Drosophila melanogaster: one gene and its partner. The protein of the gene in region 2 purifies or fractionates together with the protein of the main gene of each other region. This does not show direct contact. Each region holds a gene or a part of one and is shown on either strand. Other genes may lie near its edges.

Evidence for each region.
Region 1: the proteins of prc (region 2) and loh purify together in Drosophila melanogaster (affinity purification with western blotting; one study listed by BioGRID). This does not show direct contact.

Annotation. Positions count from the first base shown.
Region 1 is NT_033779.5:10,439,855-10,449,952, forward strand, and holds the start of loh (lonely heart), read left to right. Parts: upstream 1-2,870; 5' UTR 2,871-2,948; intron 2,949-4,897; 5' UTR 4,898-4,905; coding exon 4,906-4,931; intron 4,932-5,306; coding exon 5,307-5,382; intron 5,383-5,654; coding exon 5,655-6,178; intron 6,179-6,330; coding exon 6,331-6,512; intron 6,513-6,668; coding exon 6,669-6,826; intron 6,827-7,781; exon of another isoform or gene 7,782-7,837; coding exon of another isoform or gene 7,838-7,867; intron 7,868-7,926; coding exon 7,927-8,128; intron 8,129-8,194; coding exon 8,195-8,376; intron 8,377-8,437; coding exon 8,438-9,445; intron 9,446-9,510; coding exon 9,511-9,661; intron 9,662-9,724; coding exon 9,725-9,858; 3' UTR 9,859-10,098. Other genes in the region: Nse4 (Non-SMC element 4), read left to right, coding at 1-34, 91-258, 322-651, 707-772.
Region 2 is NT_037436.4:11,958,443-11,968,676, forward strand, and holds prc (pericardin), read right to left. Parts: upstream 7,690-10,234; 5' UTR 7,611-7,689; intron 6,800-7,610; 5' UTR 6,736-6,799; coding exon 6,664-6,735; intron 6,422-6,663; coding exon 6,363-6,421; intron 6,297-6,362; coding exon 6,193-6,296; intron 6,131-6,192; coding exon 5,966-6,130; intron 5,910-5,965; coding exon 2,607-5,909; intron 2,553-2,606; coding exon 2,012-2,552; intron 1,948-2,011; coding exon 1,822-1,947; intron 1,452-1,821; coding exon 680-1,451; 3' UTR 430-679; downstream 1-429. Other genes in the region: CG43294 (uncharacterized protein), read left to right, coding at 1-361; Muc68E (mucin 68E), read right to left, coding at 9,138-10,234.

The DNA of each region.
Region 1 (10,098 bases), on a different chromosome or scaffold from region 2:
CAACGTCACGGATCGAATGGTGGCCACGGCGATCGTAGGTGCACTGTGTACTTTATTTATGCCTGATCGTAATGTTTGATCCTATTACAGAACGATTTGGTTTTCAAAGAGAGCGAAGAAGATTGGGATGCTCTTTGTTCATTGGCTATTCAGTTCGGAAGACCACTCTTCACCAATGATAGCATGCTGCCCTTCATAGATGTTACTCCAAAGGTGGTGGTTCAAAAGCAACGTGCTCCTCGCAAAACGAAATCTCAAGTAAGTCATTTGTTAAACAATTTCTCACAGTAATATTTGTTCATATTATTATGGATCTTGTAGGTAGATGAGAAGCGTCCAGAAAAGAGTGACCAATTGGAACGCAAGGACGAAGGAGCAGCGTCCGTAACCCACATGCTGAAGCAAATAAGACAAATATATCGAGATGGCAATCAAGAGCCGATTCCGTACTTTAAACTGATTTGCAATCCAAACAATTTTATGGACACCGTTCAGAACGCTTTGCAACTGTCGTTTCTTGTCAAGGAGAACTATATTTCCATCGAAAATGGCGAGGATGGTTTGCCATTGGTTCGCGTTGTGAATTCCAAATCGGTCGAAGGAAACGCACCGTCCCAGGCTATTTGTTCCATCGATGTTACCTTTTGTGAGGTTCGTATTTCAATTATTGTTTAAAGCATTATAATTGATATGATTTAAATTACAGAAAATGGTAAAGCACTACAACCTACATGAGCCAATGTTAAAAAGACTTCCGGTTAGTGAGAAATAGATATATCACTTAGTTCATATTAATAGTTTATATTGTTATTAATAAAACACATAGAACGTTTAAAGTTACTCATGTACGGCATAAATAATCGGGTAATTGAAAGTGTTCTTTCCCCCAAACATTAAGTAATTAACGTAATATCAACACAAAATCATTAAATGAATTTTATTACTCAAGCAGTTACTTCATAGTTCAAACACTTCCCCCAATATTTTACTACGAATCCGCCCCTGCCATTATGTCAATTTTTATGACCGCCTACAAATTGTGAAATATGTAGAAGGGGCACTTGTGAAGTTATAGCAATATAAAATGTATGTATGTTATATTTAGGAACTAAATATTAGTTAAGTTGTTTACTTATAACTTTAACCAGTTTCGGATTATGTTCTTAATCCGTTTTTCCTGGTCTCAATGGGTGGCATACCAAGAATTAAACAAATAAATTACTTTGCAGAGTGGAATAATGAATGAATGAATGATTGGTCCATTAATTAAAAAATCACTCCTGTGCTCGAAATTAGTGCACTTTCCGTTGCACAGCGGCTTTTAATTGAATTCCGTTAACTTAATTCCACAAAGAGAAATTAAGATTAATTAAGATTTATTGCACAATGAAGCTTAGGGTTAATTGCATCTTTGCGGTCGACGGAGTTTAAAAGGCTTTCTATGGAGTATAGCCTTTTCTAAGAGATCAGTGCTTCTATTCAAACTGGATGTAGTAGATCAAGTTACTCGATGCACTATTGTCTGAGATTTTGGGGCTTTCAACTTCATGTGGGCGAAGAGAGTTGACCCAAGTGCAGGAAACTAAGCTAATGTGTAATTATATATAAAACCAAAATGAAGATTTATTGCTCCATATCAGCATAGCAACAAACGACCCAATTAATAGCCACCCAATCTTCAAAATACAAAATTAATGATGCACAAGCGCAGTTTCAATAAGTTGCCAAGTTGGGTTTGTCTTAGTAAATTCCATTGAAGAATTCTACTTCTATGAAAAACTTAGTAAATGCATTATGCTACTATGAGTTTGAGCAAAGAGAAAATAGTTTTTTTTTAACTGGAAAATTATTGAAAAAATGTATTGTTTTTATGCATATGCTGCAATATGTTTTTATTTCAAAAAAACAATTTAGCTTTAAATTTTATCTATTTCAAAGTTTTCTTATTTTGCAAGCAAACTTTTTAAGTTCTTGCCATTTTGGGAGCCTTCTTCTCTTAGTTTCTGTGTGGGAAGCTTAAGTCCGGATTCAGTTCTGCTAAATTATAACCAATTTGGACTCCATAAATTTCCTTGGATCACTTTCGCATTAAGCGTTTGCGTAAGGTTCGAATGTACATTTGTTCTCGCATTGATATTCCGCTGAAAGCTACATAAAGTTAAATGCATACATATGCAGAGACATCACCCACATTATTGTAACTCACCCGTGGTCACAGGCACACCTGCGGTCAGCTAAATAGCATCACTGAATTTTAGATGAAGTGTGAACTATATAGGGTTCTTATTTGTCTTGCCAAAAGCAGTATGATATTAATGAGTAGCAATTGTTTACCTTGATTTAAAATGAAATATATTTAATAAATTGTTTACCCCTTATATTTAACTGGAAAAAGGTCAGTTAAGAATATGATTATAAATAAAGGTAAAAGAGGAAGAAAAAAAGTTATTCATGCTGCTTTATAGACTTAAGCGAACTAAGAGCCTTTCTAGCTCTAAACTATACAGCTTATGCTAAAATCTAAATTTAAAATATTTATAAATAATTTTCGTATCTTGTAACTCAAACTTAGTTTCGCTACTTTTTCGACCATAGCTGTGCTGTGGATGTGCGCCTATCTGTATGTACGCACGTTTGGCTCCAGACTTTTGGGTGGCGCTGGCAATCGACTCCATGCCCATGTGAGTGCTGTGGTTGGGGCTTGGTGAGATGGGTCCCCACTCCTCCGCCTCCTCCCGGTGGAAATCGGGGAGCCACGGGTGCCGTTGTTAGCACCACTCGATCGCCAGAGCTGCGCTGATGCTAGCGGCGCGCTCTGCCTCCAGCACTTTTGTTCCCAAAGCGGCTTTCCCGAAAATTCAGTTCGGATTTCAGTTTGGATTTGAGTACCACGCGATGAAGACGACGGCTTCAATTAATCCAGAATTAGGCGTGCAGTGATACACGGGGTGCTACATATATAGATATATATTTTTTGCAAATATATAAATCAAGCGAATAACTAATATTAGAAAATTGCAAAATCCCTGTGCTTGCTTGTTGAGTGATTTTGTTACAACATTTAAGCGAAGATCCTTTTGATCCTTTTAGTTAAGAGCCAAATTACGAAACATATAAATTTAAATAACTAATTTAATTTAATTTAATTTAATCATTTTAGTGAGCGTAACGAAAAAGTAAGGTTTTCCGATAATTGATCGTTTTGAGTGACATGTCCTTTTCTTTTTTTTTGAAAACCTTTTCAGTGAACCCTTATCTTCAACAATTGTTCGGTTTGTTAACTCTTCAAAGGTCCGAAGACATTTTGAATATGGGCTTAATTGCATTTTGGGGGAAATGCGTATAATTGATTCGGGTTTTTCGTTGTGGGACAAACCAATTCACCTCAATCACATCTGTCCGATGACAGTAATCACTCAAGCACTGAATGCATAATGAAAGAAAGCCCTCTGTCGATGGAGTTTTTTAATTTATCTCGAAAAAAACCCCCAACATTATTTTGCACGCCTTAAATGTGGCAGCGTAATTGCAGTCATTTCCAGATTTTAGGATCGATCGGATAATAATAATACAGGCAGTGAGCCGCAAAGGCAGTTGTCCAAATCTAAAAAGTGAAATCGAATGACAGGCACACTAGTATTTTTTCTTCATAGATTTCAATTTAATTTAAACAATCCCATCTGCGCGCACACACATGTTTCAAAATAGTTTCCCGTTTTGCTAATTGCGGAAGTTTCACATGTAATTTATGGCAAAGCGAAGCGTCAATGACGAAATACAAGAATGCCCAGAAAATATGACATATGTATCAAAATATTTTGGTGCCCCCATGTAATTTGCCTTCTCTCGAAACGATTGAACATTTTTCCAAACACTTCAGTTTAATGCAAGTTCTTCATAATATCCGCACTCTTCGAATTGAGTGTTTTCGAGTTCAGTGGCATGCTGAAGTGCTAATGCCATTGCAACACACATGGGCAAATGCAGTTTCAAATGCAACGATTGGCTCAAAATGGCCCTATTGACACAGTTAAGTAGGCAAAGTCCATTGTGACATTAGGAACTCGCATACCCGCCAACTTGTACACTTCTAGGGTATGCAATTGCCGCTCCACGAATGTGTGTCACTGGCGGCAGAGCACTTTGCTCTTTATAAGGAATCCAGAAATGCTAACAACATAACATAGTACATACACACATACAACACTATGATAAGACATTAAAGCTAAGATTTCATGTATCTTATGTTTAAAAAGCTGGGATCTAACAAAGCATCCATGCCAAGTTCCTTTAGTTATTGTCAAAATATATAGGTTTATATCCTTTCAGAAGATGTTATACATAAGAACCTAGCTTTAGGCGAAAATTCCTAAGTCACAGCTTGAGAACCAAACTGATTTATATATAATTATATAACATATTTGTGCGTATTTGTAGTATACGCAATAGTTGTGTGCTCATACATATGTAGCTCCAAAATGTTGAGTGGGTGTGGAGGCTTCTAATGAAATACGCCCTTCCCATTTTTGTTCACGGATGTTGGTAGTGTATGCTATTTGCTACATTGCTATATGCTATATGCTATATGCTGCCGAAAGTACATCCATTCCAGTCGAATAGTCACGCTCGGTTTAATCGTAATCAATGAAAATAATGGAACTTGAGTTCCTCTGTCCCGAGCTGCTAATACAAGCCTCTACATGCGTACTGGCAAACATTAAAGATCGCTTAAAAATAGCTAGCGAATTTATCTAAAAGTACATAGAGAAATAATCTAAATATATGTAGCTTGTTAAATATTAGGCTGTGGTCTCTGGGAATTCTTTAAGTATGGCACACGTTTTAGTTTTTGGATAATTTGTAATTGTAATTAAATGTATCTCCCTGACTTTTACAGGCTTAGAAATGGCGAAGCTGTTGTTAATATTCAGGTAAGAAAATAGTATCTCAAACCGATGTGTAGCTCAACCTAAAAAAAAAAACGAATTCATGGATTTTTCAATAGATACAAATTTGATAGCACAAAAAGTGGGCGGGGTGAACATCTTGCTCAGCTGGATTTAATCAAGATTTGTTTGCCCTGCCGCCGAACAGTGGCTCGTTTTCACAGAAAACGTTGTAAAAAGTGTAGATCTAGATACTTCAAAGAAGTTTTTTTGCCTTTAAGATTGCATTGCTGTGTTCGGAATCAATCGGAAGTGATTCAGAGATGAGATGGAACTGATGAAACATTCAATTTCCGCTCTTAAAATATTCTCCTTTGCACACAAATATTGTATTTTTATTTTATTTAATTCTGTTTACAGTATTCTTACAATTCTCGCAACGATACACGATTCTAGTTTTGTGCAGGCGGATTTAACAACTAAAGAGCGAATTAAGGTAGGACCTTCCTTATAAACAATAAACTTTAAAATCGAATTAATCTAATTACTGATTCGAACTCATTCATTACGTTCAATGCCCATTTAAAGTGTTATTATAAATTATCACTTTTGAAAAATATGTCATGTTGGTGTTGATAAGCTAGAACTTTAATTAATGTCAAACTAATAGTGCTGTAAATAGTGCTGTCATAAATTTGTTGTAAAGTGCTTTAATGTGTTGTCATAAATTGATGAAATCATGTTTATTATTTTGATTTTTGCTCACAGAAACATCAGGATTGGCTCAGAGAGCACCGAAAACCTAAAACGAAAAAGAAAATCTCAATTAACTCATATTATGAGCTGGCAAACTTGTGGCATACGAGAAAGGATCTATCATCACCCAAGCAAAAACCGAATAATAAGGAGGAATACTTGGAGAACGAGACAACTAGTAAAATATCCAATAAATCCGATGAAAAAGTATTAAAGTCATCAACGATAATATCATTAAATGCCACCAATCCAAGTACATCGACTTTCAAATCCGTTCTGGAAACCACTACATTACCAAGTGTGACTACCAAGGATCTCTTTGAAAGTGGCAATGTTGCGACCACAAGACAGACTCCGAAAGTCGAGGAGGTGTTCTCGTCTCCCAATCCACCGCAAGAAGCAACTTCGTCAACTTCAAAAAAGGCGAAAAAGAAGGTGTATCCATATCCACGTTGGGACAAATGGAGTGACTGGAGTTCCTGCTCCCGAAGTTGCGGTGGTGGCGTTAAGTATCAGGTTAGGAAATGCATCAATCGGTGAGTTATACTAATACTACTGCTTAAGATATATAGGTTATTGGTTATATATATATATATATATATATATGCGCTCATAACCCTACAGTTTGCCTTCATTAGCATGTTTTGGGATAATATCTCTAAGCACTCTACTCTTTTACCGATTTCAGTAACCTATTGACGAATAATCAGCTTACGAGTAATGCATGTGTCGGTTACTTTAAACGCTATCAACTGTGCAATGATGTGCCATGCGACGAACAATCCCCAGATTTTCGGGCCTCCCAATGCTCGGCTTACAACGATAAAGAGTTTCATGGTCATCGATATAGGTGGGAACCTTATGTCAAGGGTATGTGCATTTATGATCTGTAATATGGTTTTATTCGAAACAAAGTAAAAGAACTAGATATTAGCTCACCAAAAAATATCTAGATATAATTCATTTTAAGTCCCACAATCTATTAACAAGTTTAAACACTTTGAATTTGTTTATAATAATTTATAGATGACGCTGAATGCGAACTGAACTGTATGCCATTCGGAATGAAATCATTTGCCACACTAAACGAATCCGTAATTGATGGAACTCCATGTGGACATCCAGCTGAATATTTTAGATCGCAATTTTGGGAGCGCGCTGTTTGTGTTGATGGAGCTTGTAAGGTTAGTAAATTTAAATAAACAATAATAATGCTAGAATAATACAGCAATGATGACTTGATCTTATAGATTTTTTTAAAAATTTTTATTGAAATTTAAAATAAGATAATTGTGCCACCACCAGCAACAGAGCAACTAACGATCGCACATTAAAAGCACTCATTTTTCGATACTAGAGCTTTTTCAAGTACAAGAATCGCATTGAAAACTTAGTATTGGTTTTACATTGAATCAAAAAGCACGCAGCATATAAAGTGATTCGTAATGAAATTCAAACAATCAATATAAAGACATTTCGACGTAAATAAAGTGTTAAGGCAAACTTAATTTTAACCTTGATTTATGTTTTCAGTCTCTCAAACTATAAGCTTCAAAGACTGCATATTTAAATGGCATTGAAACTGTTAATCAGTTAATGAAATTTGTGATATATCAAATAAAAGATATAATTGATCGTTTCCCTTTTTTTTTACTTGATTTGCGTTACAATTTAATTTGCATTACTGATTGAAACCCTTTTAACCTGTTTTATTTAATTAAGTATAGTTTTTGCAAGGCTCTAAATTTCAAATTGATTCTTGAGAAGCGGAATAGGTCAGCAAATCAAAGTGGAAATAATTTTGTGAAAGCAAAAAACTGGAATAAGTCCAATGAGCTTAATTTCAATGAATTATTTTAGTAAACACATTGCCGCAGTTGTGCGTACAGAAAGTCGATCCAAAAAGCAATTGCTTATAGAACATATGCCCCTTAATATGGCTGACTGAATGTATTTTGTACTCATTTATTTTGTTGTTTATCTTGTATGCTTAATAAGTGGCCAATAAATAATGTTTTTGCAAAGCCCACGAATTCCACTCGTACGAATATTACCCTGAACTTACCATATATAAAGGCGTATTCTTAGTATTCCCCTGCAGAAGCTGTAGATAGTTTTTGTGGATTGGATCGATATAAAGAATAATCAATGTTTTAAATATATATGTAGATAAAGTAGTTGAAAAATTAACAGATATGATAGCATTATTGCCCTTGCTGTTGCTGGTGAGTAAGCATTATAGTTATAACGATCTATAATATGGATTATAAAAACTATATTTAAGGCAGTGCAAGCCAGTGGCGAAATCGATGGATTGTATGCGCACAGTGGATCCGTGAGCTGTGGTGGATTACTTTGCCGGCCAGTTACGGGCATCTTTACCAGAAATCCTCTGCCGGAACATGCCTATATACATGTTACCACATTGCCAGTGGGTGCCTCCAATATTTCGATAACTGAACTTAAGAATAGCATCAACTTGCTGGGTAATACATATTTTGATATTGCATAATAATACGTTTGATTATCAAATCTCTTTCGTGGAATTCCAGTCCTGCGCACCTCCAATGAGCTGGCCATTTTCAATGGAGAGAACACTGTCTCGGAGAGCGGATCCTACGAAGCGGTTGGTGCTGTCTTCGATTATCATCGAATCGACGGAGCTGAGGACAGCAATGGGGTGACCGAGTGGATAACGAGTATTGGACCCATTCGGGATTCATTGCAACTTATGGTAGAGCCCCACATATAAATCTCTTAATAGACTTCTATATAATTTAAATACTTTCCTTTAGGTTTTCACCAAGTCAGCCAATAATACTGGCGTGAAGTACGAGTACATGCTGCCCATAGTATCCGAGTCCGAGGAGAACGAGATGTCGCTGGAGAGCAGCGATGGCCTGTTGAGATCCGGTATGGAGGACACCAGTTCATCCAGTAGCTCGCGGGCGGGACGCAAACGTATTTTTAATTGGAAAGTAATTGGGTTCAGTAGTTGCACGAAATCCTGTGGCGGCGGCACGCAGACACCCATCATCCGTTGCATTCGAAAGAATCCATTGCGGTATTACTCGCAGCGACGTTGCACGCATTCCGTGAAACCGGTGTTGAACGAGAACCTATTGCACTGCAACACGCAACCCTGTCCGGCGTATTGGAGATTTGACGATTGGGGCGAGTGTCGCTGCTCGTCGAGCGGCGGTCTGCGTCGCAGGGAGGTTAGCTGTGTCCAGGAATTGGCTTCCGGACTGGTCATACACGTCGATAAGGCCGCCTGCATGGAGGATCAGCCACCCATGCAGAAACAGTGCGAATGTCCCAAGAATAGGCGACGCAATTTATCCCGATACCGCCTGTCTGGTCCTTCGGAATCCTCATCGAATAGCAGCCAAGTGAAGAGGAGCAAAATCGATGGCAGCGACGCCACGGCCATTTGGTTGGTGTCCGATTGGAATCAGTATTGTTCGGTCACCTGCGGTTCGGGCGTTGAGTATCGTACCGTATTCTGTGATCGCTCCAAGGCCGGCGAGCAGAGATGTGATCCTAGCACCACTCCGGAAAGTCGTCGTCCCTGCGAGAAGCCCGCCTGCGAGTTGGGTGATTGGTTCACTGGTCCGTGGTCATCGTGCAATGGCGATTGTTTCGACCTGACACGCACCCGCGAGGTGCTGTGCATCCGTAGCCAGCTGATTACGGAGCACAGCGAGTGTACGCCGGAGCTGAAGCCGCAATCCGTTGAGAAGTGCTCCCACGAGGAGGTGGAGTACTGCGCTGCCCGTTGGCACTACTCGGATTGGTCGGAGGTAGCCAGATACTTGATTTGATTTGTGATGCAGTTACTATATCCGCTTGCATTCGTTTATTGCAGTGTACCAAACCATGTGGCGGTGGAACCCAGCGACGCAGTGTGAGATGCTTGGAGTACGACATCAAGATGAACGCCTTGCGGGAATCAACGCATTGTCGGTACACCAACAGGGAGCCCATATATCGCAATTGCAATGTGCAAGCGTGTGCAGGTGGGTTTCTACTTGGAATATTTAGTTAAATTTATATATTTACTATATTATTTACTTTTACAGAAGTTCCGAAAACTGAAGTGACTCCAGTCTGTGCGGATAAGTTCTCTAATTGCCAGTGGGCTTCGCAGGCAAAGTTATGTAGCTACGATTATTATCGCGATAATTGTTGTTTTTCCTGCACGGGTGGCATTTAAAGTTCGTAGTTCGTAAGACTCTTAATTAATTTATAAAACGATTATTTAACCGCCGTGCAGAATAGCTAAAAAAACAAATATTATCAAGCTTTACCCCACGCATTTGACATTTTGTTAACTCTAGAACTTAGTATTTCTGACACTAAAGCTCAAAAAAAAAGCTTGCAGGGAAATGCAAAAGTTAAAAAATATCGATCGAAAAGAATGTATTAACGCAAATCAATAACAACATACTAAAGT
Region 2 (10,234 bases):
GCAGAGATGGCCGTTTCCCAATGACTGCCATCGGTACTACGAGACCCGATTGCTTGACTGTCCTCCGGAATTTTATTGGAACTCACAGCTACTACAATGCAATTCGCAGACTCCGGTTGGCTGTTCCTCCATAGATCCGATAACGAATTGGAACAACTCCTATCCCAATTCTCCACCGATTAAAGAACCAGAAAATTCCGATCTTACGAAACTATGCGAGAATAAGCTCAACCAGCTAATACCCTACCCAGCGGATTGCACCAAGTTTATTCGGTGTGATTATTTACCCTTCGTAATGTGCTGCCCGCAATATCTCTATTGGAATTCTCAGCTCCTTACATGCGATAAGATGTGTGTTTAGAGGGTTTTCTGAAACAACATCGCACAAGCAGTTCCGGAATTAAGATAACGAAACAAAATTCTCTTTTTCATATTGTGTTTTGTTATTAAATATTAATTACAGTTGCAAATCGTACAAAATATTCAAGAATTGGCAGTGAAACCGTTTAATTGTATGCGAAAAAACACTTAAGTGCTCAAGAGCAAGCTGCATCAAAATACAAATAGGTGGTTTGTAGATGGCAGTTGGTTAAGCTGTTCTAAAATTGAGCCCCTCTGGAACTGATCTACTATAATATGGGTGTGGTGGTGTGGTTAGAGGGATGTGTATTATGCTCCCCTAGCATTTTCCATTGGTGGGCGCCTTGGGACGGCAGATCTTGCTCCTTCCATTGGCGCCGTAGACAATGTTGCAAGAGAAGGTGAAATAGCCGCAGGTCGAGGACTTGGTGTAATAGGTCGACTGGAAGTTCTTGTTCTCCTGCGGTGGGTTCTTTGTGTTGTCCATGCTGCCTGTCACTGACTTGGTGACGGTGACGTAGCTATCAGGAGCACGCCGTAGCGGCTTGTCACCCCGGACCGGACCCTCGTCGCTGGTGTCGGGTGTGATCTCTACTCCTTTGGGAGCGTGCAGCTCCAGGGCCTTGGTGTGGAACTTCTTTTCCACATTTACGGTTCCTCGGAATCCCGGTGGTATGGCCTCGGTGGTCGAGGGCTCTGCATTGATGGTGGCTTTACCGTTCTGCTTTTGCACCACCTGATACTTTTCACCCGGCACCGGCACCACGACTGTCTGTTGGCTTTGCGTGGGTGATGACTGGTTGTAGGTCTTGGGCCTAGGTGTTGCCTCGGTTGGTGCCACTATGGTGGACGACTTTGGGGATTCCTCTAGCTTCACTGGCTTCTCCTCATAGTACTCATCCTCATCGTATTCATCAGGATCGGCCTCATCTTCATCATCGTACTGAACGGGCTCCGGGTGGTCTAGCTTACTCACTACCTGCTCCGCTTCCTCCTTGGGCTTGGTGGACTTCAGTTGCGCCTCTGGCACCCTGTCGGACTCATCAGTAAGCGCGGGTCCACTGTAGACAGCATCAGCTCGATCAGTAACACTGGAAGTTGAAAGTTAAAGAAAAGAAAATAAAATACAATCGTATAAATTTTACAGAGGCACGCACTTCCCATTTGAAAAGTAAGTAAGCAAAAGTAGTTAGAAATTTTAAAGGATTTATTCGTTTATGTATCCAACATAAATAACCTCAAAAAGTATACAAAAATGAATACGTTTTATGCTAAAGAATTCCATAAAGGCATGGCAGTTATAAAATCACAATAAATTGATTGAGCTAAAGTGTGTGACTTTTCGAAATCAATTTTGAACATATTTTGCCAATTTAAAAACCACAGAAGCATACGTTATCCCTTTTTTTAAATAGCCCAAAACATGTTTTTCTTTCTTTCTTCACTTTTCCGATTACTTACGCATTTGCGTTGTTGCCAAACTGACTGATGGTATTGAAGAGTTCCCTGTTTGCTTCCCTGTAAGTAGCAACCTGCTCTTTGGTTCCCGACGCGGATTGTGCAGCACCATGGTAAGAAACACCAAAGCTGAAATACAAAACCAATAATGAGTGGCTAAAGTCAATAATCAATAATCCTATAGCAATGTTACCTCGATGTTCCGTGAATCTGCGAGCTACTCTGACTGGAATGAGTGCCAGATGAGGACGATGCCTGGCCGCCACCATTAGCTGCTATAGGATTGGCCTCCTGGCCGGGTCGGAAACCGATCTGGGCCTGGGAGGAGGTTTGTCCGGGTCCGCTCGATTGGGCGTCCGCCAGGCCGCCCTTGTCATTGGCGTGAACCTCGCTCTGGCTCTGTTGGATGATGCCACCGCTCTGCGACGAGGCCTTGGTGCCGCCGTCCTTGGCAACCTGTACCTGGGCCTGCGACTGGGCAGGACCTCCCGATCCCTGAGACTGACTCACGGCTCCATCAGCATTTCCGGTAACCTGTGCACTGGCCGCACGATCAGCATCGGACGTCATTGCACTGGCGCTAAAGGTTCCGCCGGAGCTGTAAGTTCCCGACACCTGAGTCTTGGCCGTGCCTCCATTCTTCTTGCCCTGAGCACTTGCCGACGCTTGTCCGTCGCCAATTGATGACTCGGCTTGGGAGAAGGCATCGTCAGCTCCGCTGGTACCGGCAGCAACTGGGAAACGAGCAATTCAAAACATTGTTTTCCACCGCCTTGATAGCTACTTACCAACTCCACCGGTGCCAACAGCACCAGGTACAGTTTGACTTCCATCTGTATATCGACCTGGTGCCCCAATTTGTCCTGTCTGGGTTCCGTATCCTGGTTGTCCTACTCTGTCTCCGATCTGTCCGGGCTGCCCTCCAATGACTCCAGTTTGGCCGCCACCTCCTGGCTGTGTTCCATAAACTGGCGCTCCACCGATTCCGGGTTGGCTACCGTATCCACCGTGCCCACCAACTGTCTGTCCGCCAATTCCGGGTTGAGATCCGGGTCCGTATCCGGGTTGGCCAGCTGTGGCCTGACCACCTGTTCCAGGTAAGCTTCCGTATCCGGGTTGCCCGGCTCCGGTTTGTCCAGGTTGAGTTCCGTACCCGGGTTGGCCACCGCTAATTCCTGATTGACCTCCAGTTCCTTGCTGTGTTCCATACACAGGTGATCCACCAATTCCAGGTTGACCACCGTATCCGGGCTTTCCAGCGGCGGTCTGTCCGCCTATTCCAGGTTGTCCTCCAAATCCAGGTATGACACCGTATCCGGGTTGTCCAGCTCCAGTCTGTCCGCCAACTCCAGGTTGGCTTCCATATCCGGGCTGTCCGGCTCCAGTCTGTCCGCCAACTCCAGGTTGGTTTCCGTATCCGAGTTGTCCTCCAAAACCTGGTTGGGCACCGTATCCGGGTTGTCCGGCTCCGGTCTGTCCGCCAATTCCAGGTTGGCTTCCATATCCGGGCTGTCCGGCACCAGTCTGTCCGCCAACTCCAGGTTGGTTTCCGTATCCGGGTTGTCCTCCAAAACCTGGTTGGGCACCGTATCCGGGTTGTCCGGCTCCAGTCTGTCCGCCAATTCCAGGTTGGCTTCCATATCCGGGCTGTCCGGCTCCGATCTGTCCGCCAACTCCGGTTTGGCTTCCATATCCGGGCTGTCCGGCTGCAGTCTGTCCGCCAATTCCTGGTTGGGTTCCGTAACCGGGTTGCCTTCCACTAGTTCCTGTTTGCCCTCCAATACCAGGCTGACCTATAAATCCATATCCAGGTTGGCCGGCTCCAGTCTGTCCGCCAATTCCAGGTTGACCACCGAATCCGGGTTGGTTGGTTCCGGTCTGTCCACCAATTCCAGGCTGAGTTTCGTATCCATAATGTCCGCCAGGAACAGCGGTTAGTGCTCCAATTCCTGGCTGAGTGCCATACCCAGGGAGTCCGCTTATTGTAGCCTGTCCTCCGTATCCTGGTTGTCCGCCTCCGGTCTGTCCGCTAATTCCAGGCTGCCCGCCGTATCCTGACTGTCCGGTTCCGGTCTGATCACCAATTCCAGGTTGACTGCCGTATCTGGATGGTCCGCCAATTCCAGGTTGAGCCCAATATCCAGGTTTTGCGGCTTCTGATTGTCCGCCACCGAGTTTCCCTCCAATCGGTCCGCTTATACCCCCAATACCTGGCTGAGTTAAAAATCCAGGCGATCCACCGACTCCAGTTTGACCTCCATATCCAGGTTGTCCGGCTCCAGTCTGTCCACCAATAACAGGTTGGGTACCGTATCCGGGTTGTCCGGCTCCATTCTGAGCTCCAACTCCAGGTTGGCTTCCATAGCTGGGCTGTCCAGCTCCAGTCTGTCCGCCAATTTGGCTTCCGTATCCGGGTTGTCCGCCACCGGTCTGTCCGCCAATACCAGGCTGGCTGCCGTATCCGGGCTGTCCGGCTCCAGTCTGTCCACCAATACCAGGTTGGGTTCCATATCCGGGCTGTCCGGCTCCAGTCTGTCCGCCAACTCCAGGTTGGGCACCGTATCCGGGTTGTCCGGTTCCGGTCTGAGCTCCAACTCCAGGTTGGGTTCCATATCCGGGTTGGCTTCCGTATCCGGGCTGTCCGGCTCCAGTCTGAGTGCCAACTCCAGGTTGGGCACCGTATCCGGGTTGTCCGGTTCCGGTCTGAGCTCCAACTCCAGGTTGGGTTCCATATCCGGGCTGTCCGGCTCCAGTCTGTCCGCCAATACCAGGTTGGCTTCCGTATCCGGGCTGTCCGGCTCCAGTCTGAGTGCCAACTCCAGGTTGGGCACCGTATCCGGGTTGTCCGGTTCCGGTCTGAGCTCCAACTCCAGGTTGGGTTCCATATCCGGGCTGTCCGGCTCCAGTCTGTCCGCCAATACCAGGCTGGCTGCCGTATCCGGGCTGTCCGGCTCCAGTCTGAGCGCCAACTCCAGGTTGGGCACCGTATCCGGGTTGTCCGGCTCCGGTCTGAGCTCCAACCCCAGGTTGGCTTCCATATCCGGGCTGTCCGGCTCCAGTCTGTCCGCCAATACCAGGTTGGCTTCCGTATCCGGGCTGTCCGGCTCCAGTCTGAGCGCCAACACCAGGTTGGGCACCGTATCCGGGTTGTCCGGCTCCGGTCTGAGCTCCAACCCCAGGTTGGCTTCCATATCCGGGCTGTCTGGCTCCAGTTTGTCCGCCAATACCAGGTTGGCTTCCGTATCCGGGCTGTCCGGCTCCAGTCTGTCCGCCAATACCAGGTTGGCTTCCGTATCCGGGCTGTCCGGCTCCAGTCTGAGCGCCAACACCAGGTTGGGCACCGTATCCGGGTTGTCCGGCTCCGGTCTGAGCTCCAACTCCAGGTTGGGTTCCATATCCGGGCTGTCCGGCTCCAGTCTGTCCGCCAATACCAGGCTGGCTGCCGTATCCGGGCTGTCCGGCTCCAGTCTGAGTGCCAACTCCAGGTTGGGCACCGTATCCGGGTTGTCCGGTTCCGGTCTGAGCTCCAACTCCAGGTTGGGTTCCATATCCGGGCTGTCCGGCTCCAGTCTGTCCGCCAATACCAGGCTGGCTGCCGTATCCGGGCTGTCCGGCTCCAGTCTGTCCAAGAATACCTGGTTGGGCACCGTATCCGGGTTGTCCGATTCCGGTCTGAGCTCCAACTCCAGGTTGGGTTACATATCCGGGCTGTCTGGCTCCAGTCTGTCCGCCAATACCAGGTTGGCTTCCGTATCCGGGCTGTCCGGCTCCAGTCTGAGTGCCAACTCCAGGTTGAGCACCGTATCCGGGTTGTCCGGTTCCGGTCTGAGCTCCAACCACAGGTTGGCTTCCATATCCGGGCTGTCCGGCTCCAGTCTGTCCGCCAATACCAGGTTGGCTTCCGTATCCGGGCTGTCCGGCTCCAGTCTGTCCGCCAATACCAGGTTGGCTTCCGTATCCGGGCTGTCCGACTCCAGGTTGAGTGCCAACTCCAGGTTGGTCACCGTATCCGGGTTGTCCGGCACCGGCCTGAGCGCCAACTCCAAGTTGGCTTCCGTATCCGGCTTGTCCAGCTCCGGTTTGTCCGCCAACTTCAGGGAGAGCAACATATATCAAACTGTATACATTTTGATTATATACGACTTACCACCTCCGGGTAAGCTTATAATGGAATCGGGTCTACCGATGCCTCCGGATCCACTAGCATCAAGAATTCTGCCTGAAGAAGGGTAATCCGTTTGGTAGCCAGAACATCCATTGCAGTCCCCTGATGAGAACTGGCTCTGAGCCTGACCCATTCCATGGGTGCCAGCTGAAAGAGGTCAAGAGGTCAATGGACAAAGTGCTAATGAATCTCATCTGACCCGTACTCACACACAGTGGAGCGAGATCCATTTTCGGTAGCCTCTGCCTCAGCCTTTCCATCCTCCTCAGGCTTACCGAAATTTAAGTACTGAGACTGGGTTTGTCCCCTCGAACTGCGGATAAACATGGAAAGGAAGTAAGCCCATCTGGTCCAAAATAGTTGTTAACCAACTACTTACTAGCCTCTGCCGCTTCTCTTTTCCCGCTGCAAGTCGTTCAGACTAGAAACCTCATTTTCCTGAAAGTTAATACATCGATTTAAATTCAATGCTAATGTCAGTCTAATCTTTATTCATTCAAAGGGTCTGTGCAAGTGTGCCCGATTAGATGCTGCTTGTAAGAAACTGACCTTGGTCAAATTATGTCTTATCGCCTACTTTTCGAACCGAGTTCATTTACATTACACTACTCTAGTTCCATTCAACACACACAGAGAAGCAACAATTCTCGGGGAGATTCATTAACAATTCGGAAACTTACGATGGCAGCTCCATTTGCGCTTGCCACGAATAGCACGGCGCCAAGTAGCAGGCCCAAGCGAAAGGGCAACATTTCAATAAATTAAACCCTGAATCCAATTGAAAGGCGTCGACGTCGCGGCAACACAACCAGCAAACTGTAAGATGAAATTGAATTGTATTATCAATACACCATATAGATGCGTGTTATTATTAGTTTATACTCCTTCTCTGTGTTTCTTGTCCGTCACTTTCAGAGGTTATCACTTTTCTTTAAAATGAGCACGCACGCTGTGCTATTAGATGCCAAAAAAAAGGCAATCGATCTTGAGTTATATTTCAGTCTTGCGAGTGATGTAATCGCTAAGGCTGATTAATGTAAGTTTCGAATTTTAGTTCTTGACACAAACGTGTTTGAATTTGTAGTCTGAAATCATACATATGTACATATCCTTTTTGATATCTTTCGCTTTTCACATCTTTATTTTGATTTTTATATGTAAAAAATACAAGAAAGTCACATAAGCACTTTACACTTCGAAAGGATAATTGTGTGATTATCCTGGCGAATATGAATTGTTACAGAATGTACATATTTATATTTGAATATAGAAATATTTAATAAATTTGGGAAGAAAATTTAATCTTCACATAATTGTGTTTAGATGTTGTCAATGATTCGATTAGTACAAGATTCTTAGTTTGCACACATTATAATTTACACACTTATTGTTCTTTTTGACCATTTACTAATGATATAAGGTCCTGTATTTTGGTTGATTTCAATTTCACTGCATATAGAAATTCACATTTAAATTTTATCAAATAAAACTCTACAAGTTGTAATCCGTTTCGTAATGCACAATTAATAGGATGTTTTGTTATCTTATTTCTTCACTAATCCCTTGTATTTGAGAGCTGTTTTTGCTCTATGTCCTTGCTGCGAGGGCACACATCCTAGGCACATACTTTTTCGGCTGCGTGTTCTAGGAATCCAATGGAGATTTTCCGATTTGCTTCCGATCGCGACAACTGCTGGATTGCGAATAACGCTGCCCTGTACGAGCATCAAAACTCTAGAGCTTGAGCAGAACTCAAATTCATTGAAGGCGAGCAATTTCCAATACATTTGCATTTGGCCAGCATGAATATTTATGTAGGATCCACACCAGCGCAGAGTGCTGGTATCTGTGAGGCGGATCAGGGCACTTGGAGCCCGAGCTGGGAGCTCGTCGCCAGTGCTATTCATTCGAGTGTCTATTCCATTACGTATCAGCGCTTTGATCGTGTCAATCGATCACTTGGTCTGGCTTGGCCTGCCGATGGAAGGGGCGGCGCGTTGACGTCCCCCTCGACAAATGAGTTTCTATGGGCATTACAACATCGTAGTCTATGCCAACGGATGGGGGACTCTTTTGACCCATTTTAGGGAAATGTACTGGCATTTATTAGCATATAAAGATACGCAATTGTGTATCTCTTGGATACATTTCAAGTGTGTCCCTGCCCACACTCATTCACTTGACTTGTATGTGCTCTCTTTGCATCTGGCGAAGGCTTTATCGATTGGGCTTTGGATTTCCCAAGCCACTTATTTATTTCTACAAATCAAAAATTGGCGGAAGTAATTTAATCAGATAACCTTTGAGACTAACTATTTGCTTTCGCTTTCTGTTTAGACTACCCATCGTCATATCTATATATAGAGCAGTCTCTACCAGCCCCCATTCAATGTTGAATTCGGCTTTATACCCTTATCTGCTAAGAGCTTCTATGAAACCATGTGTTAAATTGAACTGAAGCATTAAATTTTCAATTTTTGAATACCCATCGTCTGTATGGGGTGTGTTTCAAGGCTAGTAATATTTTTAATTGAAACCTAGATTGATAAGATCTACGAAAAAGGCCTAGGAACTGTGGAAAGCAAATAATCCGGCTACAGTGTACCCATTACTTATTTTACTAGATACAATTGCACTTAAAAATATCTTTAACCTTGTTTTCCAATTTTAATGGGAATAAAGTGCTATGAAATTTTTATTACATCGTAATAAGAATTTATATTGAGACCAATTTTTTGTAACACCTTGAGATGAATTTGAGACTACCTTTTGTTTCTATAACAATAGGGTAGTTCATTACCAAAGTGTCTCAGTCTATTGAAATAAATTTGCATGCATCCAAAAATATCTATTTAGATCATCTAAAAAAAAAACCCCAGTGAAATAAAAATGCGATTGAATGTGTTTTTTTTTTTTTATATACAACAATAGGAATTTAACATTCAGTTTCTGTTTCATTATATTAATAATTTTGCTAACTTTAATTAATCGATTTGTAATTTCCACAGTATAAATAAATTTTTAATAATTCGCAATCTTTTTATTCATTTCTTAGGTAAATATTGTCCAATGAATAATGCCGTTGCACTGCTCCTGAAAAAAAGTGTCCGCATGTTATTTATTAAAATTTTGTCTACTTTAATTGGACTTACTCTTATGTGCAGAATCGCCGGGACTTTTCGCAAACTTGACTAACGGGATTCCAGTAAAGTCCTGAATTACAGCTCATTACAACACCTCTCAGGCCAAAACACTTGACATATTTGGAGCAATCGCTTTGAAAAACGTTAAAATTCATGCCCGCTGCGCAAGAAATCGATTGACTCGCCCGAAGATTTGTGCAATATTTATTGGACCAATCACATGACTTTATCTCCGGGTTCCAATACAGCGGATCTGGACACTTGCGCTCCAATGCCACGCCATTACTACACTGCAAATACATGGTGCAGTCCGTTGGATGTGCAAGGAAATCCACTCCAGGTCCGCAAACCTTCTCCTCTGGATTGGAATTTTCAGTGTCGTTGTAGCAAACACCTGAATCTCCACTGCAAACAAATTTATGATAGTCCCAATAAAGATTAGCTGGGCACTCCATAATTAGTTCATGCCCGTTGCTGCAGTGAATATATTTATGACAATTTGTTGGATGGGGTAAATATTGATACCCGGTACTGCAAGACAATGGTGGTAGACTTGAAGTTGTGGTTTCAGGGGAAGAACTTGATGAGGGTTCTAAGGTTGTGGATCTTGAGGAAGATGGAATTGGACTACTCGTGGTATCGTATACTAGCGTGGTACTTGTAGAAACTTGTCCTGCAGTACTGTTTTCTCCCGGTGATAGGGTAGAATCGCCTAACGTTGTGCTCTCCTTGGGAATATTCGTCGTAGTCACAACAGTGCTACTTTCGTCTGTTGTTGTGTCCTGGTTAACAGTAGTAGATGTGTCAGGAATCGGTGTTGAACCTTCTGCCGTAGTATCATCCTCAGGTTTTTCGGTAGTTGTCTCGATTGCAACAGTTGTGTCGTCTCTCGTGGTGCTCCCTTCAGGATCATAAGTTGTTTCCTGGGCGACAGTGGTAGTTTCCTCAGGAATCGGTGTTGAATCTTCTACAGTTGTATCATCCTCAGGTTTTTCGGTAGTTGTCTCGATTGCAACAGTTGTGTCGTCTTCTCTCGTGGTGCTCCCTTCAGGATCATAAGTTGTTTCCTGGCCGACAGTGGTAGTTTCCTCAGGAATCGGTGTTGAAT